Linked DNA regions of Macaca mulatta. The protein of the gene in region 5 interacts with the protein of the main gene of each other region in a pairwise test. Links are inferred from orthologs where the notes say so. Each region holds a gene or a part of one and is shown on either strand. Other genes may lie near its edges. The genes, in order: PDLIM7, MID2, AHCYL1, KCTD9, GEM and LZTS2.

What was found.
Region 1: the proteins of GEM (region 5) and PDLIM7 interact in binary tests that used the Homo sapiens proteins (3 or more experiments, as listed by UniProt). The two-hybrid records come from large-scale screens. The link is inferred for Macaca mulatta from reciprocal best matches to the Homo sapiens genes GEM and PDLIM7.
Region 2: the proteins of GEM (region 5) and MID2 interact in binary tests that used the Homo sapiens proteins (3 or more experiments, as listed by UniProt). The link is inferred for Macaca mulatta from reciprocal best matches to the Homo sapiens genes GEM and MID2.
Region 3: the proteins of GEM (region 5) and AHCYL1 interact in binary tests that used the Homo sapiens proteins (3 or more experiments, as listed by UniProt). The two-hybrid records come from large-scale screens. The link is inferred for Macaca mulatta from reciprocal best matches to the Homo sapiens genes GEM and AHCYL1.
Region 4: the proteins of GEM (region 5) and KCTD9 interact in binary tests that used the Homo sapiens proteins (3 or more experiments, as listed by UniProt). The two-hybrid records come from large-scale screens. The link is inferred for Macaca mulatta from reciprocal best matches to the Homo sapiens genes GEM and KCTD9.
Region 6: the proteins of GEM (region 5) and LZTS2 interact in binary tests that used the Homo sapiens proteins (3 or more experiments, as listed by UniProt). The two-hybrid records come from large-scale screens. The link is inferred for Macaca mulatta from reciprocal best matches to the Homo sapiens genes GEM and LZTS2.

The regions. Positions count from the first base shown.
Region 1 is NC_133411.1:186,467,461-186,470,948, reverse strand, and holds the end of PDLIM7 (PDZ and LIM domain protein 7), read left to right. Parts: intron 1-1,681; coding exon 1,682-1,802; intron 1,803-1,889; coding exon 1,890-2,005; intron 2,006-2,141; coding exon 2,142-2,228; 3' UTR 2,229-2,461; downstream 2,462-3,488. UniProt on the Homo sapiens protein: May function as a scaffold on which the coordinated assembly of proteins can occur. May play a role as an adapter that, via its PDZ domain, localizes LIM-binding proteins to actin filaments of both skeletal muscle and nonmuscle tissues.
Region 2 is NC_133426.1:114,596,128-114,601,491, forward strand, and holds the start of MID2 (putative E3 ubiquitin-protein ligase MID2), read left to right. Parts: upstream 1-1,902; 5' UTR 1,903-2,533; coding exon 2,534-2,537; intron 2,538-5,364. UniProt on the Homo sapiens protein: E3 ubiquitin ligase that plays a role in microtubule stabilization. Mediates the 'Lys-48'-linked polyubiquitination of LRRK2 to drive its localization to microtubules and its proteasomal degradation in neurons.
Region 3 is NC_133406.1:130,211,846-130,217,337, forward strand, and holds the start of AHCYL1 (S-adenosylhomocysteine hydrolase-like protein 1), read right to left. Parts: upstream 3,221-5,492; 5' UTR 3,001-3,220; coding exon 2,881-3,000; intron 1-2,880. UniProt on the Homo sapiens protein: Multifaceted cellular regulator which coordinates several essential cellular functions including regulation of epithelial HCO3(-) and fluid secretion, mRNA processing and DNA replication.
Region 4 is NC_133413.1:27,201,506-27,206,778, reverse strand, and holds the start of KCTD9 (BTB/POZ domain-containing protein KCTD9), read left to right. Parts: upstream 1-1,788; 5' UTR 1,789-1,863; coding exon 1,864-1,911; intron 1,912-5,273. UniProt on the Homo sapiens protein: Substrate-specific adapter of a BCR (BTB-CUL3-RBX1) E3 ubiquitin-protein ligase complex, which mediates the ubiquitination of target proteins, leading to their degradation by the proteasome.
Region 5 is NC_133413.1:104,656,218-104,661,499, reverse strand, and holds the start of GEM (GTP-binding protein GEM), read left to right. Parts: upstream 1-1,771; 5' UTR 1,772-1,924; exon of another isoform or gene 1,925-2,013; intron 2,014-3,134; exon of another isoform or gene 3,135-3,307; intron 3,308-3,624; 5' UTR 3,625-3,633; coding exon 3,634-4,024; intron 4,025-5,282. UniProt on the Homo sapiens protein: Could be a regulatory protein, possibly participating in receptor-mediated signal transduction at the plasma membrane. Has guanine nucleotide-binding activity but undetectable intrinsic GTPase activity.
Region 6 is NC_133414.1:113,066,673-113,071,382, reverse strand, and holds the end of LZTS2 (leucine zipper putative tumor suppressor 2), read right to left. Parts: intron 4,333-4,710; coding exon 3,673-4,332; intron 2,361-3,672; coding exon 2,103-2,360; intron 1,349-2,102; coding exon 665-1,348; 3' UTR 466-664; downstream 1-465. UniProt on the Homo sapiens protein: Negative regulator of katanin-mediated microtubule severing and release from the centrosome. Required for central spindle formation and the completion of cytokinesis.

The DNA.
Region 1 (3,488 bases), on a different chromosome or scaffold from region 5:
CAAATAGCTAGGACTAGAGATGCCCACCAGCATGCTCAGCAGATTTTTAAATATTTTTATAGAGATGAGGTTTTGCTATGTTGCCCAGGCTGGTCTTGAACTCCTGGCCTCGAGCAATCCTCCTACCCTGACCTCCCAAAGCACTGGGATTACAGACGTGAACCACTGTGCCCAGCAGATTTCACTTGAGCACCTAGATTTCAGCCTGAGCCAGGCAGGCGTTCCTGAATGAACCAGTAGCACCGTTGCCAGAAGAAGAGGTGCTCCTCCGTATGACACAGTCCCCACTTGACCCTTGCAGGGATTGGATCTGGGATCCCTGGATTTAAACTCAGGGCTATCCTCATAACAGCCTCACAAGGCCGGGATTAGCTTCCCAGTTCACAAGGGAAGAAACCAAGACTTGAGAAGGTCAGGGTCTGGCCAAACCCACAGATCTCTGACCCTCATGCCGCCTTGAGGCCCCATGCTGCCCTCTGCCTGCTCCAGAGGTGAATACTGCTGGCCCTGGCTGGCCCCGAGGCTCCTAGCGAACAGCCCAGCCCAGGGAGAGCTCAGCACCTTGTGCCTCTGGCCCCTCCCACCTCCTGCGGAGCCTAGTCAATTCACCCACAAAGGGCCAGGCACTGTGGGGCTAGATCAGCTAACAAAACAGTTGATGCTTCATGCCCTTCTGGGCCTTACGTTTTGGCTGGAAGAAGAGGGGAGAGGCAGACAGTAAGCAATAAGCGCAATAAGTAGACTGCCTGGAAGTAATGTTAGATCACATTATGGAAAACAGGAAAGAGTAGAGCAAGAAGCGCTTGGGCGTGGTGTAGGGAAGGCAGCTGGCTGCTACTCGTGTGGTCAGGGTGGGACCTCGTGGAGAAGACTGCATTCGAGCGGAAACTTGAAGGGGGTGAGGGGTGAGCCTTGAGATATCCGGGGCAGAGCAGTCCAGGCAGAGGGGACAGCCAGTGTCAAGCCCAGGACAGGAGCGTGCCGGGTGTGCCAATTTCAGGCAAGAGGCCAGTGTGCGGAGGCAAGGTGAGAACGCAAAGGAGAGCAGTGGGGGAGACAGGTGGGAACGAGGTCAGACCTGCTGGCCTCCAGCGTCTGCATGGGGCTTGGTTCTTGCTGGGAGAAATGGGAAGCGGTAAGGGGTTTCATGCAGGAGGATACAGACTGTCTCGGGTTGCAGGGGTTGCAGGGGCCTGCTGCGGCAGCTGGGATCAGAGGGAGGAGCTGTAGGCCAGTTGTGTGTGATCCCAGGGGCCAGATCGCTGTGGCTCACCTCGCATCAGGGAGGCTGTGAGCAGCACGCAGAATCTGGATATGCCTTGGGGGTGGGCCCCACTGGATTTCCTGGGGGACCTGGTGTGGGGTGTGGGAGGAGGGTGTGTTTGGCTGCAGCAAATGGGAGAATGGAGTTGCCATCCGTGTTACGGGGATGCCTGTGGGAGGAGAGGTTTGGGGCGAGGGGATCAGGAACTGAGTACTGGACATGGCAGGTCTGAAGGCGCAGTGGACATCCACTCAGAGACCTTGGAGATGGAGATGGAGGCATGGGAGTCCTGAACGGTTAGATGTAGTGTTTACTATGAGAAGGAACAGGGCCCGCGGCCAGCTGCCCTGTGTTCCCGTGACCCAGGGGAGGGCGGGAGGGGCCTGAGCCTGCCGAGTGACTGGCACCTCCTTCCAGGAGATCATGCATGCCCTGAAGATGACCTGGCACGTGCACTGCTTCACCTGTGCCGCCTGCAAGACGCCCATCCGGAACAGGGCCTTCTACATGGAGGAGGGCGTGCCCTACTGCGAGCGAGGTACCTGCTGGCCAATGAGGGTGAGGAGGGATGGTGCATGGGGCAGGCATGAATCCAGGTCCCCTTCCTCTCTGCTCCCATCCTCAGACTATGAGAAGATGTTTGGCACGAAATGCCATGGCTGTGACTTCAAGATCGACGCTGGGGACCGCTTCCTGGAGGCGCTGGGCTTCAGCTGGCATGACACCTGCTTCGTCTGTGCGGTGAGAGCCCCGAGCCTTGGCCTCAGCCCCAAGTCCACCAGCCCTCTGTTTATTGCCTGGGGGATGCAGGAGAAGCTGGGAAGGGGCCTCTACTGCTGCCCCCAACCCCATGTGACTGGGCCTTTGCTGTCCTTAGATATGTCAGATCAACCTGGAAGGAAAGACCTTCTACTCCAAGAAGGACAGGCCCCTCTGCAAGAGCCATGCCTTCTCCCACGTGTGAGCCCCTCCTGCCCACAGCTGCCGCGGCGGCCCCAGAGCCATGGCCTGGCATTTCTGGGTAGGGCTGGCAATGGTTGCCTTAACCCGGCTCCTGGCCCGAGCCTGGGGTTCCCCGGCCCTGCCCCACCCGCCTTATCCTCCCACCCCACTCCCTCCACCACCACAGCACACCGGTGCTGGCCACACCGGCCCCCTTTCACCTCCAGTGCCACAATAAACCTGTACCCAGCTGTGTCTTGTGTGCCATTCCCCTGTGCACCCGGAGGGGTAGAACTTGAGTCACGTGGCAGGGTGGAGAGTAAGAGGGATTTCTTGGGCTGGCCATCTTGGTGGCCCTCGTGATGCGGACGTGGCAGGCTCATGGTTAGTGGAGGAGGTATAGGCGGGACCCCATGTGCCAGGCCTGGTGCCCACAGACATGAGGGACGCCACTGGTCTGGCCTGGCTTGGAGGTTAGAGAAGGGTAGTTAGGATGGGCGTGGTGGATCACGCCTGTAATCCCGGCACTTTGGGAGGCCAAGGCGGGCAGATCACTTGAGGTCAGGAGTTTGAGACCACTCCGGCTGACATGGAGAAACAACGTCTCTGGTAAAAATACAAAATTAGCTGAATGTGGTGGGGCGTGCCTGTAATCCCAGCTACTCAGGAGGCTAAGGTGGGAAAATTGCTTGAACCCGGGAGGTGGAGAGTGCAGTGAGCTGAGATCATACCGCTGCGCTCGAGCCTGGGTGGCAGAGTGAGACCTGGCCTCAAAAAAAAAAAAAAAAAACACACAGAAAGGTAGTCGTAGTTGGGGGTGGATCTGCAGAGATACGGGGTGGAAAACAGCAATGGCCACAGCAAAGGCCTGGAGGGGCCAACTGCCGTCCAAACAGAAGATGGGACTGGAGAGGGTAGCCTTTAGGTCCCGGGAGGCCACAAGTGCCAGGCAGTAGAGCTGGGGCTGTCTCTTGAGGTCAGGGCAGGGCACGGCACAGCAGAGTTTGAAATAGATTTGTGTTGTTTTCTAGAAAGAGGCCCCAGGACACTGAGCGGGTACAGGAGGGAGGCTGGGAGGAAGAGTTGCAGCAGTGGCCTAGGGGCGGGGGCCAGGCAAGGGAGGGGCAGAGGGTAATATGGCAGAGATGGGACCTAGTGACAGGTCCAGGGGATGAGGGATGGGGAAGGACAGCAGCTTTGCCAGGCATCTAGCCTATACCAGACACGTTCACGCCTCCCGTGAACCTCCTAGCAATCTTGCACCATGTCTGTGATCACCTAT
Region 2 (5,364 bases), on a different chromosome or scaffold from region 5:
ATTTTTTGTAGACACGTTCTCTTCATGTTACCCAGGCTGATCTCTAACTCCTGGCCTCAAGTGACTCTCTTGCCTTAGCATCCCCTCCTGAGTAGCTGGAATTACAAGTGTGAACCACACCTTGCTGTATTTTCTTCTGTTTTTTTTTTTTTTAAATTTTTAAATTTTTATTTTTATAGTGACCATCCTAATGGATGTGAAATGATATTTCATTGGGGTTTGACTTGCATTTCCCTGACAATTAGTGATGTTGATCATCTTTGCATATGCCTGTTGGCCACTTGTATATCTTCTTTGGAGAAATGTCTATTCAAGTCTTTTGTCCACTTTTAAGAGGTTTTTTTTTTTTTTTTTTAATTGAGCTATACAAGTTCTTTATACATTCTGGATATTAGCACATTATCCGATATATGGTTTGCAAAAGTTTTCTACCATTTTGTAGGTTGCTTTTTCACTCTGTTGATTGAGTCCTTTCCTGTGCAGATGTTTGAAAGTTTTATGGTCCCATTTACCTATTTTTGCTTTTGTTGCCTGGACTTTAGGTGTTACTCACTACCTTTTACTTCTCTTAGGGGCCAGACTTTTTTTTTTTTTTTTTTTTTTTGAGACGGAGTCTCGCTCTGCCGCCCAGGCTGGAGTGCAGTGGCCGGATCTCAGCTCACTGCAAGCTCCGCCTCCTGGGTTCACGCCATTCTCCTGCCTCAGCCTCCCGAGTAGCTGGGACTACAGGCGCCCGCCACCTCACCTGGCTAGTTTTTTTGTATTTTTTAGTAGAGACGGGGTTTCACCGTGTTAGCCAGGATGGTCTCGATCTCCTGACCTCATGATCCACCCGTCTCGGCCTCCCAAAGTGCTGGGATTACAGGCTTGAGCCACCGCGCCCGGCCGGGGCCAGACTTTCATCAGGGCAGCCTGGTTGTGATTTTTGCCTTGGTTTCCACCTCAGTGATCTCTAGCACATTGTTTCACAGGAGTGTTGACTGATTACTATTGGTTTCCTGAAGGGATATACCAAGAGATACCTCAATTTTTCTGGGCTTGTTCTTATGCACAATGATGGCAGGCGTGTGTGTGTGTGTGTGTGTGTGTGTGTGTGTGTGTGTGCGCGCGCGCGCGCGCGCGCGCTGGGGCAGGTCCTCTCATTTTCTCATTTCTTTCCCCTTGTTCTCTCTTTTTGCCCCAAGTTAGAAACAGAGTCTCTTATGGGGCTTCCTGCTCTTTCCCTCTCCCATCCACCTTTTGAGTGGGGGTCACTCCAGACCAATGGGAGGATGCTGGATTCCAAATGGACCAATTAGCTTATTAGGGACCTGGAATACCTGGATAGCTAGCATCTGCCTCATTGTCCTTGTGGTAACGACCCTCTTGTTTTACTGGTCAACAATTTGAAGGTACAAGAAAAATCCTGCTTTTTTTTTTTCTTTTGATGGCTTTAATCCACCTTCACAACTTCTGCCCGAGGCCAATAAAACACAGCCATTCTCTCTTTGTAAAAAGAAAGAGGGGTTGGGTTTCCTTCAATTGTCTGCCCTTTTCTATCTCCTCCACTATTTTTGTTTTACTCTGTAGTTAACTTTGCATAGAGCAGCTTCATGGAGAGGATCTGTGCGGTGGACCCGGGCACTCTCTTCTTATTACCGGTTGCAAAGGCCTCTTCCTTGTTCTAACCTGGGGTTTGTGGGGCTGGGGGACAGAGGAGTGGGGAGTGGGAGAAGAGTTTAGCCATAGTCTTCCTTCTGCATTTCACACACATTCTGCTCTCTCTGTCGCTCTGTCACTCACACACACACACACACACACACACAACACACACATACACACACACACACCCGCCCAGGTCCCTCTCTCTGTGTCTTCCTTCAAGATGACAGGGCGCTGGAGAAAAGGCTGCTGGAATCAGCTGGTAGGTACAGTAGTAACCCGAGCCCCACCCACCGGCTGCCTTTGCTTGCTCAGGTTTCTCCGGTCACTCCTGCCAGGGGAGAAGACATGTAAACGTGCCTCCAGAGGAAGGGCTGGGGGAGCTGGGAGTGGCGGGGGCGGCGGAAGGTGAGCCTGGGAAGGTGTCCGAGCGCCCCTTCTTCTTTGGCCCTTCCCAGTGCTCCCTTGGGGTGTCAGCCCCAACCCCGTTTGCCCCCACTCCGCCTCCCTTTTGGAAGGGATTGCCTTTTTTTTTCCTCTGCGGCGGCGGAAATGACAGTGTGGTGCTGCCGTGGTGTCATGGTGCTGCCCCTGGACTGAGGGGCGAAAACTCTTAACTTTAGCTCGGGAGACCCAGCCGCGGTAGCATCGCGGCCGCCGTGCTATCCCCTGCGGGGCGCGCGGGCTGGCGGATCCCGGCTGCTGCGCGGCGTCGGCGACGGTAGCGGCAGCTGCAGCGAAGGCGGGCGGCGGCCTAGAGTGGTGGCGGCGGCGGCGGCGGCGACCGGGGCCCTGGAGCTCGCGCCGGAGCCCGAGCTAGCCCGCTGCGGAGGCAGACGAGCGCCCAGCGCCCTCGAGCGAGCAGAGGAGATGGCTGGCACCTGGGAACGCTATGGGTAAAACGCGCCCCCTCGCCGCGGCCCTGGAGGTCGAGCGTCGTCGCCCTCGCAGGGCTCGGCCCTGGCTCCGGCCGCTTTTCAGGTGCCGCCGGGGCCCGGCGTTAGCCGAGGGCTCTCGGGCTCGGCGGGGCAGGGTGATGGGGCCCGCGAGGCTCGAGACGGCGACGGGGGCCCCAGATCAGCTCCGGCTCCCAGTCATGCTGTTGGGGCTCGGGTTCCTGCCACTGCCCTCCTGGGACAGAGTTTGCACTCCGGGGTGCGGGGCGGGGGCGGCCGAGGCCTCTGCGCAGCCGGGCCGGGCCGGGCGCGGGCAGTCGAGCGAATCCTCCGGCGCCTGGGCGCGAGTCTGGGAAAGGGCACGGCCGCCTTCCCACGCTCCCGCAGCCGGCAGCCTCTTCGTCCCCGGCGTCGCCCCTTGGCCGGCCGTCTGCCGGGCGGTGCTGTCGCAGCAGCCGGCGTGGCTGCGGACGCCCTGCCGGCGGGGAGGCCCGGTGAAACTTAATCCCTTTTCTGCCAGGGGAGCGATCCTCGAGTCTCCGTCTGGATGGTTCCTTATTTCTGGCCTAGCTGTGAAACCAGCTCTGTGGGGGAGAGGGAAAACTTACATATGTCCACAGGACAGACTGCGACGCAACCAGGGAGAGTGGGGATTTTCCATTCCTGCCTTGTAAGAATTAAGTAAATAACAGCAGAGTAGATTTACAGGAATATTACTGGTGATGATAAGGTTTAGGTTACTTAGCACTTCGTGTGTTGCACATTATTTTTCAGAAGTGTTGCTTCTTAGAGCAGGAAATTGAAATCCTGGAGTCGTTTTACTCTTTACTTTCTCTGTCTCTTCCACTGTCCCCTACCGTTTTCATGATCACTCACCTTCCTATGTCACAACACTTACATGACTATGGAAATCCCCCACTAGAGCGCCTTGGACCCCAGGCTTTCCCCATCAACCTGTGCCCTCCCAGCCTCCCAGCCATGCTGCATCTTACTTCTTCAACCACTTTGCCTTTTGAGGATTTCTGAGTGTGGGGCGGATAGATGGTGATGGTTGTGTGTCTCTGAGGATGAGCCCTTATAAAGGAATATATTGGAAACTAAATAGAGAAGTACCGTGTGTGGGTTGATCCCTCTGATTCTCAACTTGGGCCAGAAGGGCTGCCTTTAACCCCATTCTGCTCCGTCCCAGTACTCTAATCAGTTCTCTGGCAATATTCCAATAGAAGGGAGTTGCTGAATAGGGAGTTCTCCTCCCCTACTTTTCTTCTGTTTGGGGAGTGGTTTCATTCTACCCCAGATGGTTAGCTTCCCCCTCCCCACCCCCCCGACACTCACATCCCCCTGTCTGTCTCCTCTCATGACTGTACTGAGGGAGAAACTGTCTTTGCTATTTTTATATATTCCTGCCCAATCAATGAACTTAACATGGGTATATAATGTGAATTAGATTTCTCCTGATTGCTCCTCACAACTTGATTCATGTGTTTGATAAAGTTTGGATATTTATCCCTGCCCAAATCTTATGTACAAATGTAATCCCCAGTGTTGAGGTGGGGCCTGATGGGAGGTGACTGGATCATGAGGGCAGATTTCTCATGAATGGTTTAGCACCACCACCTTGGTTGACTGTGAGTCCTTGTGATAGTGAGTAATCTCTCCTGAGATCTGGTTGTTTAAAAGCGTGCGGCACTTCCCCCCAGCTCTCTTTCTCCCTTGCTTCTGCTCACACCATGTGAGAATCTCCTGCTCCCCATTTGCCTCCCTCCATGATTGTAAGCTTCCTGAGTCCTCCTCAGAAGCAGATGCTGGCATCACACTTCCTGTACAGCCTGCAGAACTGTGACCCAATTAAACCTCTTTTCTTTTTTTTCTTTTCTTTTCTGTTTTTTTTTTTTTTTTTGAGAAAGGGTCTTGCCTCGGGCTTAAGCAATCCTTCTATCTCAGCATCTTGAGTAGTTGGGACCACAGGTGCATGCCACCACACCCAGCTAATTTTTGTATTTTTTGTAGAGATGGGGTTTTGACATATTGCTCAGGCTGGTCTCGAACTCCTGAGGTCAAGCGATCTGAGGGCCTCACCAAGTGCTGGGATTATAGGCAAGAGCCACAATGCCCAGCCTACCTCTTTTATTTATAAACTACCCAGTTTCAGGTATTTCTTTAAGGCAATGCAAGAATAGCTAATGCAGTGGTTAAAACACAGGTCCAGGAGTCAAGAAGATCAGAGTTCATCCCAAATCTGATGTTACATTGGCTTATGGCTTTAGGACATTCCTATGACTTTTCTTTCTTAGTTGGTGCACTTGTGTAAAAGCTATAATATTGTGTACTGGGTATTGTTAGTCTTGACTTGGTCCTTTGAAGATGAAAGGGTTCTGTAAACCCTCAGCATTATAATTTTTTTTCCCCTTTGAGATGAAGTCTCGCTGTGTCACCCAGGCTGGAGTGCAGTGGCGTGATCATGGCTTGCTGCAGTCTTGACTTCTCTGGCTCAAGCAATCCTCCTATCTCAGCTTCCCTAGTAGCTGGGACTATAGGCACACACCATCACACCTAGCTAATTTTTGAATTTTTTGTAGAGACAGGATTCACCATGTTTCCCAGTCTGGTCTCAAACTCCTGAGCTTAAGGGATCCACCTGCCAAAGCCAAGTGTTGGGATTACAGGTGCGAACCACCACAGCCGGCCAACATTATACTTTTCAAAGAAAGCACTTCCTTTACCTTTTACTGAGTTAGTGGATTGACTGGGTGTAAGTAGGAATCTTAGCTTACTGAAAATCTTACTTTAGCATTATTAGCCTCCCACCCCCAGAGTCAAATCTTAT
Region 3 (5,492 bases), on a different chromosome or scaffold from region 5:
ATTCTTTCTATAGTTTTTACTTCCTCTTATATCACATATAGGTTCTGTGTTATAAGCCACTTCAAATACCCATTGAAGAATATAAATATATAAATAAGACTTTTAAAAAATTACACTTGCTATCTTAACTCCCCAACATGCCCCTATCTCCACCTGTTCCAAAAAATAGGCATGTATTTGGCAGATGAGATGGAGGTACAAAAGCTAATTAATTTGCTCAAGGTCATACCCCTTTAGTTGACTTCTCGACACCCAGATATCTGAAATCTTCAATCAAACCAACAAGTCCTATTTTGTTCACAGCAGTGTGACAGACCTTGGCATACAAAACTGAGTAAGTCATGATTATAGTTGAAGAATCTAGATATTTATACTTTTAATTGATGGACATCCACTCTATCTCAAACAAAGCAAACAAAATGAATAAAAACTGACTCTATCTCAAACAAAGCAAACAAAATGCATAAAAGCTGACCAGAAAGTGACACTGGGATCTGATCTAATTGAGGATCATCAAGGTCACCCTGAAGTAACCTATATTCTCTGGTATCAAGAACATCCTCAATTCCTGAGGCCGGCCTCAGGGCTTCAGAATAATCCAAGGATTACTGGTCTAGAGCCAGGGTAGAATTCTCATAGGTGAAGGACTGCACCATTTGAAGAGGTCTTTTTCTACACCATCAAGTACCACGCCAAGTTACTTTTTTCCCTCTTACTTTTCCCATGCTTTCTCACATTATCAACACATGGCAGAGGTACAAAAGTGACTTAAGTCATAATGTTCAGCACTTCTGAAAAACAGACTAGGACTTGCTATGTGACCTTGACTAGTCCTCAACTGATCCATTAACTAAATAAATGTCTTTTATCATCACTAGGGAAAGGGTAATTAGTCATCATAAAACACTTTATTACAAAGTACTACGTAAATGCTGAACAATAAAACCCAGAAAGATTAATAAGGAACACGGTGGGGCACATTTACTGGCAAATGGAAACTTAAAACGGGGTCTTCCCACATTCCTGGCAAAGCCTGCTTCTTTTAGCTAATGCAATGTAAGTCTAAAATCATCAGCACTTGGCCTGACAATAATACACATTAGTAATATTCCTCCTGGGAAGAAGAGGGGAAAAGGGATAGTTATTCCTGGTAGGTAGCTATATGGACATCTCAGTTACTAGTTAGCCAGGTGGGCAATTAATATTTGAGTACCTACTATATGCTGGGTACAACGCTAGGCACACTGGATACAAAGGTGAACAAGAATTCCTGCCTTAATGAGTTTTTACAATCTACAATATAGACTTTGTCTTATCAACAGAGGTACTTTCAAGAATAGAGATTTACTAACATAAAGGCAAGTAAGAGCAAAGATGTCAGAGTCTAGGAAATTCAGGTATTAGGGCTTTTCCATTCTTTCCTCTAACTCACCTAAGGTCCCACTCTCAATCATTCTGCTTATAAGGACTGACTGTTTCTCCAAAGAATAGTGCAGATTGCAAAGGGTCATTGTCCCAACAAAGCAGTCAACTGAACTGACAGCACTAAAGTTAATCAGATGCCTCAGAGTCAAGGGATCTTCCACAACCTTTTAAAGAATTAAATTCTTAATTTTGTGAAAAAACAGAATGAAAGCACACAATGGCGACTTGTCTTTTTAATCCTGCATTTGATTTCTGGAGTGGCAGGTTAATTCACTTAAAAAAAAAAAAAAAAAGCCATCTCTCCCACTTAAGACAGCTTAACTAGTTGAAGCCTCAAGGACTTAACTATTCCTGCAGCCCTTGCTTTGTTCAGCCCTGCATCCTATTAAACACTGCATACAGGCAGACACAGCTTTGTAACACTCCGTCTTTATAGAGAAGGGAGACATTTATCTGGGTTCTCACTGGCTTCAGGAAGGTCACCTCTTCGTAAAGGTTCTCTGATCTACTGCTAACTGGGTGCCAGGTGTATGGATAATCAAGATGTGGCTGGCAGTAAATGATCAGAAAGCAATAAGGATCCCAATTCCACCACTCAGAGAGCTAGTGAGACTAACATCTTCAAAGGTTGCCATTTATGAGAGAATTCTAAGGGTGTCCTTTGAGCTCAACCCACAGCACAATAGATCAAACTTGTTCTGCCTCAAAAGTACAGTCAAGAGTGAGCAATCTTTCCTTACCACCCACCACTCCAACCCACCCAAGCTCCTTTCTCCAGGGATGCCTAAGTAATCTATTCACATGACTCTAGGATCCACCTGTATCCATGACAGTGTCTGCTGTCACCACCCTCCAAATGTCAATTTCTTACATATTTCGGAGTAACTGGAAGGCTGTAGAAAGTGAAAATCACAGATTTTCAATTTCATGTTACTCTCATTGCTTTCACCTGTATATCAGAGCTAGCTTCACGCATTCTTTTCTCTTGCCTCCCAGCTATCACGCAGTTGTTGGATAAACCGACCACTGCTCCCAAAGATCTGACGGAAGTTCTGCCAGATTTACCCACTCAAATGAAAGGAGATTTTCTGTACACCCCATGCCCCCGGACCGGTCACAGGGTCAACTGAGTTGGTTCACCCCCTCCCACTCTCGTCTTCGAGGACCTTCATCTAGGAAAAGTCAGTCGCAAATTTAAGGCCTGGCCCTGTCGGGTTTCAAAACGATCCCGGAGGACTTGGGCCGAGGGACAAAGGAAAGCGAGGTCAGAGGCGGCCTTTTCAACCCGGGATAGGCCTGGGGCCGCATAGCCGTCACCCCCTACATCACCTCCGCCGTCCCCAGTCACCCCAACCCCAGCCCCAGAAGTCCCAAACTAGCCAGAGCCCGGGCTTGCTCGCGTCCCTTCCGCGAGGCCGGAGCCCGAGCCCCCGCCGCCACCCAGAGCCCCCGCACCTTCTTGGGCGCCTTGGTGACGGTGGCCATGAAGGAGTACTTCTCGGCGTCCTCGATCTCCTTGGCCTGCTTCAGCTCCTCCCCGACCCCGGGCAGCGGCATCGCGTCAGGCATCGACATCCCCCGGCCGGCCCGGCCCGCGGCTGACCCGCCGCCCCCGCCTCTTTCCCCCTCAGGCGCCCGCCCGCCTGCCCGCGCGGCGCCCTCCGACACGCGATCGCCCACCCTCCCGCCGGGCCCTGCGTCGAGCTGCGTTGGCTTCTGAGGTGCTGTGGCCCACGCCTCGTCTGTTCAGCAGCTCAAGGCAGCCGGACAGCGACGGCGGCCACAAGAGAACCAGAAGCAGCAGCTCCGAGCTCCGACCTGCCCGCGCCGCCACCTCCGCTGTACGCAAACACGCACGCAAAGCGAGGGTAGAGGGTGGTGACGCCACGTCAAGTACTGGCAGCTCCCGGGAGGGGGAAGAGGCGGGGAGAAACGGCACTCTGTCGTGACGTCACCACGCTGGGCTGGGCCACAGAAGCCGCTCCTTCTCTCCCGCTCGAGAGCGAAGTTCCCAGAGTGAGCAGGACTCTTTGTGCCACCAGGTGGCACCATCAGCCCTGGGAGGAGCGCGTGGTTCATGCAACGACGCTGCGAAACGGAGGGTCTTTGGGCTGCGGGGTTCCTGGCGAGGCCTCAGCGGCGCATAAAAAGGGTATTTGGGAGCAAAGACCAGAGCCCAACACGACACATCCTACAACCATTCCTAGGAAAAGTCCGGGGCTTGAGACAACTCACTCACTCACTGCCCCAGCCCCAGGCCGTTTGTATTAAAGCTCCTTCCCAAGGGGCAGTGCCTGCCTCTTTGACTTCATAGGGGGCAGAACTGACTCAGAGTAGTCTGGTTTCTGCACAACCCTTTGTGACTTCCTCCACCATCATCTCCGACTGGGCCTTGCCTGTTTACAAAACCCTCATTGGAATAGGGCTGATGGCTATGAGGGTGGAGACCAGGAGAGCTGATGGAGAAGTCCCCAGCCAGAATGGCTTTCCGGTCCTTGCTCCACCAAAGCATTAGACTCTTACAGCTCTCAGTGGGCATCCAGGACATTCATGGACCGTTCACACCCTTTTACGGGGCCTACTATGTGCAGTGCCTGTGCTAAGGCCCTGCTGGCAAAAGGGCATGTGACGCATTTTATGTTTTGCAAGGCTTAGTTCAGCTGGAGAGGCAAAGCCTGCCTGTAACCTAATGTCAGCTGAGGTAGCTTGTCCTTTGAGATTCAAATGACATTGGCTCTAATTACCATGTCCTGTGGAAAGTCCAGTGCCCTCCCCGGGATTTCTGTGAATTACTGGGAGGACTTGGATTTTCATGGTCACCTCTGGTTCTACTTTTTTGTTGTTGCTGTTGTTGTTGTTTTGCCTTGTTTGGCATTTTATTCACTATTCTGATCTTGTGACTGTTTCTGTAGCTCCTGGGGTCAATTCTGCTGCTTCTTCTTTCAACCCCCACCCCATGCTAAACAAATACAAAATAAGGCTGTAACATGTAGTAAAACTTTTCATAAAGGTTTGTGGGTCACAGGGGAGAGATTACATCACAGAGCAAACAATTTAAGATCACATTTCTGAAATGTTCTGAAAAGTTATTTTGGCTGTCTCACCACCCAGGGATTTCTCAATGGCCACAAGATCCCACTACGCTCCCTAGCCCATTGCCATCTAATCTAGCTTCCTCCTGTTCCTCCCTTCCCATCCCTGCACCTCATCCTTCCTTCCTTGATGGACTCTGGGAAGCCAGATTCTCCTCTGCTGTGCTGAGCAATTCTAGTCTTTCCAGTGTCCTTTCCCTAAATTCCTCCCCAGGACCACTTTTTTTTTTTTTTTTTTTTTTCTCTCTCTGTTGCCCAAGCTAGAGTGCTCTCGGCTCACTGCAACCTCCGCCTGCCGGGTTCAAGCAATTCTCCTGCCTCGGCCTCCTGAGCTGGGACTACAGACGTGCACCACCATGCCCAGCTAATTTTTGTATTTTTAGTAGAGACAGGGTTTAGTAGAGACAGACCATCTCGGCCAGGCTGGTCTCGAATCCTGACCTCGTGATCAACCCGCCTCGGCCTCCCAAAGTGCTGGGATTACAGGCGTGAGCCACTGCACCTGGCCAGGACCACCTTTTAACATCCAGAAAACTCCCAGGTTTTTAACAGGGCATACCCATTCAAGAAGGAAGTTTGGGTTTGAAATGACATTTTCCCCACTGATTAATGTTCAGGGCTGGGGAGAGTGTGAAATATTCACCTCTAGGGCCCTAAAAGTCTTAGTCAGGGAATCCTGTGTTCCAGCCACCTAGCCTCATGAGACTGTCTGTTTGAAAAGGGCTGTAGAAGTGCCTGGAAGAATACACTCTTTGCAGATCTTGCTCTTGAACTATTTGAATTCTTTCATCTGCTCACTTTTTTGAGCACTCAGACTTCCCTGTCAGGGATATCGCTGTAGCAGAACGGGAACAGAAATGGAGACCAGAATACCAGGTTCATCCATGAGGGTGCCAGACTGGCATCTTTCAGCTAGGGGTCGGGAACCACACCTGGTGCACTGAGGACTCTTTGGACATAAGGCTCACAGTGTCT
Region 4 (5,273 bases), about 77 Mb from region 5:
CATACTGGCATAGAAACACACGTCGCAGGTTCCATTTTTTATTTTAATTTCTGTGGGTATACAGTAGATGTATATATTTATGGGGTACGTGAAATATTTTGATACACGCATGCAAGTCGTAATAATCAAATCAAAGTAAATGAGGTAGCCATCATCTCAAATATTTATCCTTTTTGTTAAAAACAATCCAATTACACTTTGTTATTTTTAAATGCACAATTAAATTATGGACCGTCACCCTGTTGTGCTAGCAAATACTAGATCTTATTCATTCTATGTTTTTGTACCTGTTAACCAACTCCACTTCCCTCCCACTCAGCCCCAATACCCTTCCCAGCCTGTGCTAACCATTCTTCTACTCAAAGCGCGTACTTTTAAGGCCAAATTAAACAGAAAGAAATGGAGGAAACTGCTGTTCAGGCACCAAAGCAGACCCCAAAGGATAAGCCATGGCTTTTCAACCGAAGTGAAGACCTGAATCATAAGGGTACCCGTCTCAAGACGCAGCTCCGTCCATTTCCAGAAATTGTCTCAGCAGGTCCGGATGCACCCCTGGTCACCCAGAGCAGCTCCTGAGAGGAGTACTAACTCTGTGCTGCAGGGTAAGCCGAACAAACGCCATAAAAACGCCCCGGAGAAGCAGCCCCATGGCAGGGTGGCTGCAATCCTACCTCTCACGCCGCACCTGAAGGCCCGCCAGGCAGATAGGCTTAATCTCAGAGCCCCGAGGCAGGCGAGCTTCGCGTAGGTCGCTGCTTCCAGACCCCGGCTCCTCTGTCCGGAAGGGCTCTGCTGGCAAAGCACCCGTAGCCGGGAACCGCTCTCCGAACAAGGAGTCCAGGGTCCCTGAGGCCGACTCGGACTCACACCCCGCGCAGTCCCTGTCTTTCGCTCCGCCCGGCCGCCTCCTCCGCCCGCCGCCCGATTCAAATTCCCGGCCCCGCCCCTCGATGCCGAACTTACTCTACGAATCACTCCGCTACCGCCCCTTTCTCTGGTCTGCGCACACTCCGAGCCCTCCCAGTGACTTCCTGGGCTCGGAGTGGGGCCACCGCGAGCTGCAGTCAACCCGCCGACCACAGACACCTACTACTGACCTGTGACCGCGGGGACTACTTTCCAGGAGAGTCTCGCGGAGTAACGCTTCTGTTAGCGCTTTAACTCCGCCTCCCACCTTTCTATTGGATGCTGCAAACTTCGAAAAGACTCATTCAACCAATCCTAACAGAGCGAAGAGCTGGCTCTTACCCAATCACTCCGTCCCTACCGCAGCCGTTTCCTCGCTGGGCCGGCTTGTGGGCGGGGCTAACGCAGGAGGAGGGGCTGACTGGTGCTTGGGTCCCTTTCAGCGCTCCACCTCCTTTCCGTAGACCCCGCCCTCGTATGCAGATGAGCGCTACCTAGACTTGAGTGTGCGCCTGCTCAGTAACGCTGTAAGTCGCCGTCCGGCTCCAGGAGCCTCTCTGATTGGCTGATGCCCCTTCCCGTCTACTAGCCTTCAGCGTCTCTTCCCTCCCTCCATCCCGGCTAGGTTAGCCAGGGCCCGCCCGATACTGGGTGCTGATTGGCTGGACCCTGGCCGGTGACGCAGGTTGGTTGGTAGGCTGAATGTCAGTCTCGGAGAGGTGGGGGAAGGGCCCCAGGCAGGCTGAGGAGCCTAGGGGCGGGGTGGGAAGGAGGACCGGCCGAGCCCTGGGTGTGGGACAGAGTGCGTGTGTGTGGTGTGTCCCCAAGGGCAGGAAGGTGGCGAAGGGAGGCGAATCCGAGTGGGTGGAGGGAGGGGAAGGGCGGGAGGAGAAAAAGGTGGGAGTAGGACCAGGTGGGAGGGTGGCGGCTCACTCAGGACCCAGCGGGGGCAGCGCGATGAGGCGGGTGACCCTGTTCCTGAACGGCAGCCCTAAGAACGGAAAGGTAACGGGGGCGTGAGTGGGCGCGGCGGGCCGTGGGTCGGGGCGAGGGTGGAGGGTGCGGACCCGGCTGGCGGGGCAGCCGTGAAGTTGGGCAGAGGGGCTGGGAGGTGGGCGTGCGCGGGCTGGGGGCGCCCGGGGACAGCACAGGGTCCCCGCGGCCTCCTCCCGACCCTCAGGACCCCTGTCCCCGAGCCTGCCCTTCGGCGCCTCAGCTGCCTGGGGGCCGGCGCGGGTCGGGCCGGGGGCTCCGGGGCTCCCGGATGCGCGGTGCAGGGGGCGCGGGGACTGGGGAGCGGAGAGGGCCGCGGTCACCTGGGCGCCCGGGCGGTCGCGCTTCTTCCCGCCTGTCCCCGAGACCCCGCTCCCGCCTGCGGGAGGAGGCGCGCCGGCTCCCGTGCTGAGTAATGGTCTGCTCGGAAAGTGGCGGCGAGCACCAGAGCCTGTGGAGCTGGGTCAGGGAGACAGAAGTAAACTGCCCGTGGATAAACAAAATCTCCCATCCGAGGTCGAAGACAGGATTTTAAAAATGGGGGCATTTTCTTGTTGATTTTTGCCCTTCTCTCTGAGATGCCTCAAGCCCCCACTCCCCGACGCCGCCAAACTTCTCTGTACTCGTTTTATTATTTTGCCTTATTTTGATTCCCTAGAGGACGGGGACAGCAGACCCAAAAGGGATCGATTTGACAGTCGCCTTTGCTGTGTTAGGTAGGCCTTTGCGGAGGGTGTGGTGCTAAGTGTTCTTCCAGCGCTGGAGCAAGCCAAAATGAATTCTCTTCCTTCCCAGCCTTTTGCCCCACCCATGAAAGTTGTTCTGCTACTTTGGGAAATTTTGACTGTTCAAGGCAGACATTTACTGCGTTGCTAAATGACACCCAGAAGTAACTCAGCCTTTACGAGTCTAAGGTAAAGGTAAATGGGTTTCACTGTGTTAGTTGCCAAAATACTCTGGTGCCTGCACATTCGGGAAACACTGTAAATTTTTAAATAGTGAAATTGTCCAGTGGCATTAAAAATGGCTTTCCCATTATTCAGTGTAGAGTAAACATGCCCTGAAAATTCGAACCAGAGTGTGGTTTGTTGGCTATAATTTTGTGTTCTTCTGGTCCTAGAGATTTAATACTCATTTTAAAACAGAATTGGTATAAATTCGAGTTCTCGAGTTATCATGAATGCTACCCCGAAAATATGCTCACGAAGTTTACATTTCTCATCACTATTAACTTTTTCTAAACCTGTTCTGTAGTTAGCTGGTGTTATCTAAAACGTATGTTGTTACTCTAAGATTAAAGATTGAGTATATCCAAAATTGGTAATATTTCTCAAAAACAAACTTCCGATTGACCTTTTTAATGCAGTATCTCTGCTATGTTACTCATGGAAGACAAATATTTAGACCTAGTCATAAATATTTTTGCTCTAAATCTCTCCCGAATCCACTCAATTTGGTTGTCAAAAATTAACTGAGTTGGTCTTTCCATATTGTTCACACGGATTTTTTTTAAACTATCTAGTTTTGACTACATTCTTGGATTTAAATTTTATTTACTTTAAAAATATTCTGCTAGAGAATCTCAGAAGATTGGGGGAAATGCATCTCAAATAATTAAATATGAATATGTTCATGTTACAACGATCATAAAAATCCAAACTGGAGAATACTAGATAAAAAGAAACAAAGCCGTGATCTTCACTGCTCAGCTGATGAACATATTCTAAGATAACGTTGGCAGTGCTTTCTCTCCTTTCAGTTGATTAAAAAATTTTATAATTACTCTTATTTGACAAAAGAGCTACATAATACATAACAGCTTGCATTTTTATATATAAAGTGACTAATTGGATTGGCATGATCATGACATGAATGTTCATTAAGAATAAGCTAGGGAAAAGTGCTACTCAAATAGAACAGAATTTGATTTCCCATCCACCAGTTGGAATATCTGTACCACTTACTTTATCTCCTTTACCTCGCTTCTGCTTTTATTTCCTGGTTATAAGAATAATCTGTTTTTTTTCAAATAAGTTTCCCTCTTATAGCTTGTTTAGTGGTTACCAGACTGTGGGACTATAAAGCCCGGGGAAAGGTGTGGAGAGGCAGAGAATTCTTCCAAGGTGCTGTGTTACATGCTCACCACGAATTTTCTGTGTATTGAATAAATGTAACTAGTGGTGAATGTATTTGATGTTGGAGAGAGGGCTATGCATTCTCTGAACAGTGGTTTCCAGAGTGAGATGGCACACCACGGACGGTGTCCAAGATGATTTATTGGAGGTCAGGAAGAAATATACCTTTTGTTTGTATCTTACACTTAAAAATATAAAATAATATGGAAACGTGATTTTTTGGATCTGGAAAGACACAGGTGCCTCCAGTCATTGAACATGTCAGCTGGTCTCAGGTCTCCTGTAAGAAGGGAGGGCCTTCACATGTGAAAAGGTTAATTAATAGTGGCTTCTTCACTGATTGGTTGTCATTGACATTGTGCTGTGGAAGCTTACAACTGCCACGTTAAGATTTATATCTAGTTTTAACTAAATTAACCCTCACCAAAATGCCAAGTGATCTTAAAGGATTACTTCAAAGAAACTGCAGCTTGAAGTCAATATGAATTATGCAAGCACAAGTAAACAATGAGGAAATGGCAGGAGCTGCCACTTCTCCTAGTATGTATAAACCATGAGACTAAAAAAAGAGTGGATCTCTTTGGGCCTGAGAAGTTGAAACAGTGCTGAGTTTTCAAGAAGACTAGTTGAAGTCCTATTTATTAATTGCTATTAATAATCAGCCTCTCCCTAAGTGTATGTTATTCTTTGAAATATTAGCCATTGACAGGATGAGTCATCCTAGTTAGCAAGATATTTAGAAATACTTTCTAGGACATGAAGACAAATGGCTTCAGATTTTTTTTCTTTTCTGATTTTATTTTTTGGTTTTCGTTTTTTACTTTTATCTTTATATTTATTTATTTATTTGATACAGCGGTTTGCTCTTCCACTCAGGCTGGAGTGCAGTGGCGTGATCTCAGCTCACTGCAACCTCCACCCTCCAAGTTAAAGCTATTCTCCTGACTCCGCCTCTTGCATAACTTGGGACTAATTTTTGTATTTTTGGTAGAGACAGGGTTTCACCATGTTGGCCAGGCTAGTCCTGAACTCTTGACCTTAGGTGATCCACCTGCCTTGGCCTCCCAAAGTGCTAGGATTACAGGCATGAGCCACCACACCCGGCTTATTTTGATGTTTAAAGTCAATCCTGTATTTGGCAGAATTTCACTAAATTTAATGATAAATATTTAGGAGATTCTTACTGGCTGATTCATAGTCTAAGTCACTAAAAGTCCTCATCATTTGGGAAAACATGTA
Region 5 (5,282 bases):
AATTGATTTCTTCTTAGTTTTTACTCCTATAATGTTTCTGTTGAGACCAGTTGACAGAGTAGGAGTGTCAGTATGGAAAAAGCATGGAACATTTTGAAACGCAGATTATTCATCAACTACATGTGTTTTAGAATGGAGTCAGTGATATACCCTTGGAGATGATCTCTCCTCACCCCCATCTCCTCCTTTTTCCCTTTCCCCACATCTGTAGCCACTCCCTGTCAGCTAAACCCAGAAGAAAAACTTGACAGAAGCAAAGGGCATCCAGAGAATTATGATCCCCAGGTTGTAGTTCCAGCTCTGCCATGTCCTAAGCGGTCATCATCTCTCTAGGTCTCAGGTTTCTTATGTATAAGATAAGTAGGAGATTGGGGCCACAAACCTGAGACTAAAGGAATTCTAAGTTTTCATTACTCTGTGTATTCCACCTTTGCTAGCTTGGGACCTAGCAGGTCTCAGCAGCTGGTCATGTAGCTAATTTCCAAAGCAGATAAATGCCTGCAGGATAACTGTGAATCGACTCTAATCACAGCAGAGTCCACTGCTTCAATAGATGCTGGTGCCTTTGGCTGCTTCCCGGAGCCACCAGCCAACCCAGAGATGAAGCTGGCTGAAAAAGCGGACGAGTATGTTGGAGAGGCCAGCATCATCTCTAAACACAGCATCTGGGAAATACCCATGTCCCCGGAAAGAGGTCATTGAAATCCTTCACTTAGTGGTGCAGTGCAGAGACTCAGGCAAACCAGGCTTTGAGTCCTGACCCTGCCACTTATACCAGCAGTATGACCTTGGGCAAGTTGTCTGGCCCTATGTCATCTTCCTCCTCCATACAATGAGGGTAGCAATTGAGTCACCTTGCAGGAGTGTAGTAAGGATTAAGGTCCCAGGAGGCCTAACAGTACCTACTAAGCAGAGGTCCTCAGAGGTACATAGTAAATGGTAGTAGTAGTTATTATCCTGTGCCCTTTGTTCACAGGAGTCTCTCATAGGGGCCGTGGGCTCAGTGCTCCTCCCCATGGCCAGGCTGTATTGGCTCATGCCCAAGGTGTAGCCTTGCCAGGGAGCCTGGTACAGAGATGCTGGTGATTGAGATGCTGATTAAATTCCCTGATTGAGGAGCCTCAGCATTCTGGCCCAGAGCAGCAGGGCCAACAACATTTAGCACAATCTGCTTGGATCCTCAATTAAATTGTTTTCCCAAACTGCCCTTTTCAAGGTCTTGTCCTCTTTCCTCACCTCTTTCTGGCCCCTTCTCTCTGGGTCCTTGCCAGAGAAGGGAAACAAAGCTTTGTGGGGCTCCATCTGCTTCCCCCTATCCAGAGAGAAGGTGACAGAGGCTGTCTTCCTTGCAGAAGATGCGGTTAAAACAAGCCTTGGCCATTCAAGGTGGCTGCAGTCTCATCCTGGAGGCTAAAGTCTCTGCGCATTCCAGGTTGATCCCTGTTTTCTTGGCAAAGCTGAGCTCTCAACTCAAACCTGCTTCTCCCTCCATCCTTTATCCCGCTAGCTTGCAAGTGTTTTGCTGGGAAGGACGATTAAGTGGCACTTAGAGTATTTTTCCATTTTCCTGTGTTCACCTGGTAAAAAAGAAAATAAAACAAAATAAAGGAGGCCCAGGATTGAACTGTCATTATTTTTTAAATGGAGAGAGAAGGGGTCATGTGACTGCGAGTAACCGATTTAGCCAAGTGGCTGCAACTCCGAGTTTGCTGCAGAGCCGCCCCCTCCCGGCGGGGGCGCTGACGTCACGGAAAAGCCCCGCGGCGGGTCGGCTGGGCTAGTTATAAACCGCCCGGCCGCGGCGGCTGTAGGCGGCGGGCACGGACGGCGGGCACAGCGCAGCACTACCCGCTCCTTGGCCCGGGTATCCCAGCGCAGACCCACGCGATACGCTGACGCCCCGACGCCGATCCGGCCGAGCCAAGTAAGGGGGCGGCCCGGGACGGAGAAGGGAGAGAGTGGGAGTTTCCCAGCCCGCAGAACTTTCGAAGTTGAGAAAAGAACCCCTGAAACGTGCGTTCTGTGCTGGGATTTTCTGGTGGGGGTCAGAGCTTCAAGTGCAAAGGATGTCGCTTCTCATCAGCAGGTTCCTTAGTTCAATTCGGTAGGACAGTCACCTCCTCCTACAGATCGAGTGGTCAGAGAGGGCAGCCCTTAATGATGCTTTATGTATTTGTTGTTTGAATGTAAGTCTGCCAACTGAGGTGCTGCTTTTGAGACTAAAAAACCAGCTGGTGGTCCTGGTTAGTGGCGAGGTGTTGGGGTATGGAGTGTGGGGGTGAGGGTGGGAAAGCACTGTTTGTGCATCTTGCTGATTGCAATGTGCCTACTTACACTTCGTCGCCAGTAGCCCGAAAAACAGACCTTCCGGCTAGGGGAGGCAGTCTGCAAAGGGAAAGTTGTAGCGAAGTTGTTGAATATCATTTAGGGTAGTCTTCAGCCTTCTGATTTGCTTCAAGAAGGGGGGCTGAGAATGGTGGCTCAGGCCTGTGGTCTCAGCACTTTGGGAAGCCGAGGCAGGAGGATCACTTGACCCCAGGAGTTGGAGACCAGCCTGGGCAACATTGTGAGACCACCGTCTCTACCAAAAAATAAAAATAAAAATAAAAAAACTAGTGGGCGTGGTGGTGCAGGTCTGTAGTCCCAGCTCCTTGGGAGGCTGAAGTGGAGTTGGAGGCTACAGTGAGCTGTGATCCTGCCACTACACTCCAGCCTGGGTGACAGAGCAAGACTCTGTCTCAAGAAAGGAATCTGAGTTGAATTAAAGAACTCTTGAGAATGGACGTGGTTTGTTAAGAATGAGGCACTTTCTGTGCAAATTTGCTAGGTCTGAACATGAGCAGATCATTTCTCTGCCAGGGTGTCTAGGTTTGGAGCTGAGATGCTTTAAAAGTGGCATCTGTGGATAAGAGGGCACAGCTGAGGCATAAACTTTAAGCAGAAAATTTCCCCTCTACCCCCAATAATGGCAGGTGGATGCTCTCCAGGCAGCTGGAGAGCATCAAAGCAACTTTACTAAACATGGAAGTTCCAATAAGTGCCTGTCCAGTCCAGCCAGGGTTGCGGTGGGGAGGGGTGGGGGTGATGTCATTGCCACGTGTTTCCCACTGAGGCACAAAACCTGCTGGACACTGGTGCAATTAAGAGCCAAGTTTAGACAAGAGCAGCTAACCTGACCAGTTGGTCCCCAGCAACATTAACTTGTTGCTTTTTAAGTCATCTCTGGAGGCTGCTGGTTCTTTCCAGCTGCCTTTGTGCCAGCTCCGAGTGCAGCTCTTCTTTGATCCAGGTCTGCTTTGAGGAAGGGGTAAGCCCATGGGCAGTGGTTGATGTTAACAGTATTATTTTTTCCATGCAAATGACAGTCTGCCTGAGGAGCTGGTTACTGACAGTGTGAGCAGTGTGTGTGTGTGTGTGTGTGTGTGTGTGTGTGTGTGTGTGTGTGTGTCCAGTTGAAAGCCTGTCTTGTTGGGCTTTGGAGACTGTTTAATTGGTGTTTTTTATGTTAGGGATACTTGCTTCTCATCTCATCTAATATAATATTACTGATGACTGACCATGTATTTGAGCAGAGCTCTCACTCATGCTTACTAATGCTGCCATCTTGGCTGCTTTGCTCCCCAGGACCCAACGATGACTCTGAATGTCACCATGCGCCAGGGCACTGTGGGCATGCAGCCGCAGCAGCAGCGCTGGAGCATCCCAGCCGATGGCAGGCATCTGATGGTCCAGAAAGAGCCCCACCAGTATAGCCACCGAAACCGCCATTCTGCTGCCCCTGAGGACCACTGCCGCCGAAGCTGGTCCTCTGACTCCACAGACTCAGTCATCTCCTCTGAGTCAGGGAACACCTACTACCGAGTGGTGCTCATAGGGGAGCAGGGGGTGGGCAAGTCCACTCTGGCCAACATCTTTGCAGGTGTGCATGACAGCATGGACAGCGACTGCGAGGTGCTGGGAGGTAGGTGTCCCAGCCCCAGTGGGCTTCTTTCCATCAGGCGTGGCCCAGGAAGAAAGAGCGAAGGTGGGTGGCTTATTTACCTGCAGAGTTGGGAGCTAAGGTTTATGCATTTTGGACAATTGATGGGGGAGCTGAGTCTCCAGAAAAGCCCAAGCACAGGCTCTCAGGGCAATAAAATGAAAAAGCTTGTAGACAGGACCAAAATCTATTGAACCTGGGCCAGAAAGGGAATTTTTCAGATTTCAATTCTAAATGGGTGGGGGAAGGCTGATTAGATTGGTCATAGCCAGAGGGTCAGCGCCCCACCTCTGACTTCTGCTGACTCTGACTTGAACATTCTTCCCGGAATTCAGTATAGGCACAGCCTTTTTCCATGGTTATACCTAAAACAAGCCAGTTGGAAAAGCTGTTAGGATGGCTTGATCAGTTTGCTTCTACCAATATTAGAAACTTTTGTGGGTGTAAAATAGTTCAAAATCTGTATTTGAAATAGTATAATAATTTTTTAAAATGTGAAGTATAACAATGATACTTTGTATAGAGTCTGACAGCTTTTCAAGACAATTTTCCCTGTACAATTTTATTTCATCTATTTATTGATTGGAACCTGGCCTATTTCCAAAACTGTTTTGAGGTGACATTATCTCAAAATGCATGTATTCTTCAGCTAGGGGTAAAGTACAGCCCTATGTTCTGCTAAGTAATATGAAGATCCTGATAGCCAATGCCGTCCATAAAGTGTCTTTCAGCCACGGCTTCAGTCTGAGCGTATGCGACCAGGGTAGTTACGTGTCCCTATTCACCGCTACAGAAATAAAGGAAGCACTGCTCAGTGTTTCCCCAAGTCACATGTTCTGTGTTCTGTCGCGACTCACAACTGAATCACAGAGTAGGGAGGTGTCTCAGCGATGACTCAGTTCTCCCCTGCATTGATGCATATTAATACTATTCCTCACTACCCACAGCCCATCTCATCTGGAGGTTTTATTCTTCTTGACTGTCTCAGTGTCAAGGAGTTCACTGCTTCATGAGGCAGCTCAGGAAGTGGGCTATAAATGATGACTCATTGATGTAACATTGATTTCTCTCCTGGCTCCTGGAATCTCACAAGAGTAAAGGGAGAAATAGGGCCAGTGTTATACAATTGATTCCCTCCTTCTTTGTAAAGGCTGCCAGGTGACTTGCTAGGAAAGAGAAATGGGAGGAAGGGACTGACATTTAGAGTGAATGTTTGCAATGGGAGAGGCACTTTGTTAGGTGCCTTATATCTGCTCATGTTTATTTTGGTCTTCACAAAGTTCTTGTATTCATGAGCAAACTA
Region 6 (4,710 bases), on a different chromosome or scaffold from region 5:
TTTAAACAAAAAAAATTTTTTTTTATTTTTTCTTTGGGTTTGTACAAGAAATTTACAGTGTGAAAAATATACAAGTGAAAACGAGGCCATAAACCTGGGTGAAGGGAGAGGCTGCTTGGTCACAAACACAAATAAACAAGACATTTCTGAGTTCTTCCTTTGGTCTGACTTCAGCCCCCTCCCTCCAGGAGAGAGGCTGCAGAGCTCGAACCTGGGAACCGAGCCCAGGCCCGGCCCTGTCCCCCAATATGGGCAGGCACATCTGGAGCAGCTGGTGCCATCTGGCTTTCTCTGGCTTTGGGGTCAGGGGGAATGTGGAGAGGAGGGAGCCCCTTCTTCCTCCCAGCTCCCCTGGCTGGAGTGGGCTGGAAGCGCCTGTGAACAGGGTTGGCAGTGGCACTGGCAGCGGTGGGGAATGAAGTGGGTAGTGACAGGAGCCTCTGGGTGACAGTGAACACGGGGACCTTCGAGCGGTCTGATCTTGCTCCTCCAAGTCAAAGGACCATCCCAAGTTCCTGGCAGAATCCCAGAGGCCTGGATCCTAGGAGACAAGTGGCTTTGGGGCCCTCAGCTTTTGGGGTCATCCGTGGGCCCTGGGGCCTAAGTGGATCTGCAGCTGCTGCCCCTCTGGGAGAGCTCCCTGCAGAGCTGGGTGCCGAGGGCCCTAGATCTCAGTAGCAGTGATCTCCTCCAGGCAGATGCAGGGGGCCTGCTCAGCCAGGCCCAGCTCCGCAAGCTCCCGGGCCTCCAGCTCCAGGCTGAGCTGCTGCAGCTCCTGCTCTAGCTGCCGGTTGCGCCGGTACATCTGGATGTAGTTGTGCTGCAGCTGCTTCTGGTAGCGGATCACCTGCTCCTTCTCTGCCTGCCAGGCCAGCCGCTCCCCTTCAAAGCTGTCCCGCTGCTCCTCACCCCGCCGCCGCTCCCGCTGCAGCTCCACCCGCAATCGCTCCACCTGGGCCCGCAAGCTGCCCCCAACCCCGGCTGCTGCCCGCTGCACTTTGGCCTCATCACTCTCTGCCAGGAGGAATGGGTCAGCGGTGGCAGGTGGCACAGCGGGCTCCCGGAGTCCAGCCGCCTCAGCATCCAACTGCCCAGCTTTCTCCCGCAGCCGCTCGGCTTCCTGGCGGTGTCGCTGCAGCTCCTGGGAACAGGCTTCCAGCTCCAGCTCCCGAGCTCGGGCGGCCTCCTGTAGACCCCGCGCACGGCCCTCACTGACCCGCAGGGTAGCACGGGCCTCCCGCAGTGCCACCCGCAGGGCCACCAGCTCGCTGCCCTTCTGCACCAGCTCTGCCTGAGACTCCTTCAGCTGCTGCTTCAGCAGGGAGATCTCGCCTGATTTCTGGCACACCTGGGGGTGGGAGGCAGTGGGGAAGGATGGTGAGACAGGTTCTCCTGGGGGGACAGGCCCTGTGCATCATGCTGGGCATTCGGGAGGAGAGTCCATCTTTATCCCCATTTTATAGATGGAGACACTGAGGCAAGTCTAGTGACATGTCCAAGGTCATAGAGTGAAGATGTGGCTTAAGTGGAAAGCAGACATAGATTTTTTTGCTTCAAAGTTGGTGTCTTCAAAGCATCACGAGACACTGTGGAAGTACCACCGAGCCCTGGGGACTGGGTGCTGGCAGGTGCTGCAGGAGTGGGGGCAATGGAGGGCAGTACCCAGGTGTCTACTGGAGAGGTACTACAGTGACTTGGTTAAGAGCTCAGATATTGGAGCCAGACTGCCTGGGTTCAGATTTGGCACTCCAGTCTTTCTGGGCCTCAGTTTACTCATCTCTAAAATGGGGAGACTAGTGGTAGCCCCCTCAGTGTTGTTATAAGGATGAAATGATCTGTCCCATGTAACATGCTTAGAAGAGTGCCTCCACACCACAAACACCACATTCTTACTACTGGCTGGAGCGTGGCTTTGTGCCACTAGACAAGGCCAACAAGGAGACCCTCCTCCCAGAAAGGAACAGAGGAGAACTTCATCTCACGGAGGTGAGGAAGGGGAGGACCTCTGGGGGTGGCAGGCTGAGGGAGGGTGCGGCTGGGCCCCTTTTTCCAGGGTTTCTCCCTGTGTGACCCTGCTCCCTGCCCCTCCTGGTCTGGCCCACCTCCCACTTGGTCTCCTCAAGCCTTGGCCCGAGCTCCCGCTGCTCCCGCTCCAAGGTGGCGCAGCGCCGCTCCAGCTGTTCACGCTCCTGCAGCAGCTGTGCAAAGTCATCCTGCAATTGCCGCTTCTCCTGCTGCAGCTGGAACACCTGCAGCTGCAGCAGCTGTTGGGCCCGCTGTGCCCGCTGTGCCTGGGCTGCACAGTCCTCTCGCAGGGCCTCGCGCTCTCGCTGCCAGTGCCGCTGCCGCTCCTCGTATGCCTGCAGGCGAGAAGACAGACCCAGCTCCTGGGCAGTTTTCCCAACTCCCCACTCAGTGTCTGCCTGGCGGCCCACTTCTGAGGGCTCAGGAAGGGTGTATTCCATCAAACAACAATAGTAATTGCAACAATACTAACTGCTTTTATAATGATCATAGAAACAAACACAAGAGCAAGCAGACCGGGCTCGGTGCCTCACGCCTGTAATCCCAGCATCTTGGGAAGCCGAGGTGGGTGGATCACTTAAGCTCCGGAGTTTGAGACCAGCCTAGGCAACACAGCAAAACCTTGCCTCTCCAAAGAACAAAAATTAGCTTGGTGTGGTGGCGTGTGCCTGTAGTTTCAGCTACTTGGGAGGCTGGGGTGGGAGGACTGCTTGAGTCCAGGAGGTTGAGGCTACAAGGAGCCGAAATCGCGCCACTGCACTCTAGCCTGGGTGAGAGAATGAGACCCTGTCTCAAAAAAAAAAAAAAAGCACTTGGCCGGGTGCAGTGGCTCAGGCCTGTAATCCCAGCAGTTTGGGAGGCCGAGGCGGGTGCCTCACTTGAGGCTAGGGGTTCGAAACCAGCTTGGCCAACATGGTGGGAACCCCGTCTCTACTAAAAATTCAAAAAAAAAAAAAAAGCAAGCATTTATGTATAGCATTTCCTAGATACCAGGCATTAGTCTAAGCACTTTACACCTTTTGCCTTATTTAATCCTCATAACAATCCTATGAAGCTAGAAATATCCCTGTTATAGATGAAGAAATAGAGGCTGAATAAAGTTAAGCAACTTGCTCAAGTCCAAAAACTGGTATTTAGCAGTGGGAGGTTTGAATCCATGCACTCTGACTCCTTTCCACCCCACAAGTTTTGTTTTTTGTTTCTTGTTTTGAGATACAGTCTTGCTCTGTTACCCAAGGCTAGAGTGCAATGGCAAAATGTCAGCTCACTGTAACCTCCTCCTCCTGGGCTCAAGTGATCCTCCTACCTCAGCCTCCCAAATAGCTGGGACTACAGGTACATGCCACCACACTCAGCTAATTTATTTTTAGGAGAGATGGGGTTTCCCCATGTTGCCCAGGCTGGTCTCAAACTCCCGAGCTCAAGCAATCCGCCCACCTCGGCCTCCCAAAGTGCTGGGATTACAGATGTGAGCCACCACGTCTGGCTATTCCACAAATTAAACCAGACAACTGGTGGGGAGGGCAGGGGGGTCACAACTACAACTACCCAACCCCTCTTCCCTGCTAAAATGGAAATGCCCCTTTCATTCCCCAGGCCTTGGGATGTCCTGCCATGCCCCTTCCCCATCATTGCCTCTGACCACACCTGGCACATGGTAGCCTCATTCTCGTCCAGACTGTCCCGCAGCTGCTGAAGCTCTGCCTCCCGCTCTCGGAGCTTTCCTTCCAGGACACAGTGCAGCAGGGCCTCGTCGGAAGGAGGTGGAGGCGGGGGTGGTGGTGAGCGCTCCCCACAGGAGCTGCTGTCAGGGGAGGCCCGGGTACCACTGCCCAAAAGCCCGGCAGCCACACGGCCCCCCAGGGAGCCTGTGCTCTTGCTGGAGGAGGACCGGCCACTGTCTGAGTGGGAGGGCCCAGTAGGGACCCCTCGGGCTGGCCCAGGCAGTGCCCCTCGCCCAGAGCCATGGGAAGGCAGGTGCCCGCCTGGGGAGCTGGTGGTTGGCTCGGCACCTCCGGTGCTGTAGGTGGGCAGGCTGGACAGTGAGTTTCGGCCAGAGTCGGATAGCGTCCCTGATGGGCAGCCACTGGCCCAGCCACTAAATGCCAGGGGTTTGTCAGCAGCTGAAGAGGAGGAGGAAGAAGAGGAGGAGGAGGCAGGGCCCCCAAACAGCTGTGTCAGGCTGCCCTGGCTCCCAGACAGCCCGGTGGCCCGAGGACCCATGAAGCTAGGCAGGGACGGAGCCCCTCGAGGTTTGGGCAGCACTGGCTTGAAGGCTGTTGGGCGGATCAGGATCTTCTCCATGTTCTGAAATGAGGTGCCATGTGACAGTGGAGATGAGCTGCCCAATCTTGCAGAACCCTTATGACACTCCCTGCCCTCCCATCTGGGGTCCCCAATGCCCATATATTCGTAACAATTGCGGCCACTGGTGGAGGTGGCCACCAGTGTCAGCTTTGTGTCAAGCAATCTGAAAGGTTTATCCCCATTATCTAAATATGATCACTATTCTCATATTACAGATGAGGAAATGGAGGCTCAGCAAGGTTAAAGGCCTTGACCAAAGCCAAACATATAACTGGTGCAGAAATAACCAGAACATAAGCAACTAGCACTTAACAACTGTATACATGCCACATGCTAGGCACTATGCTATACATTATTTGACCTTCACGTCAGTTCTAG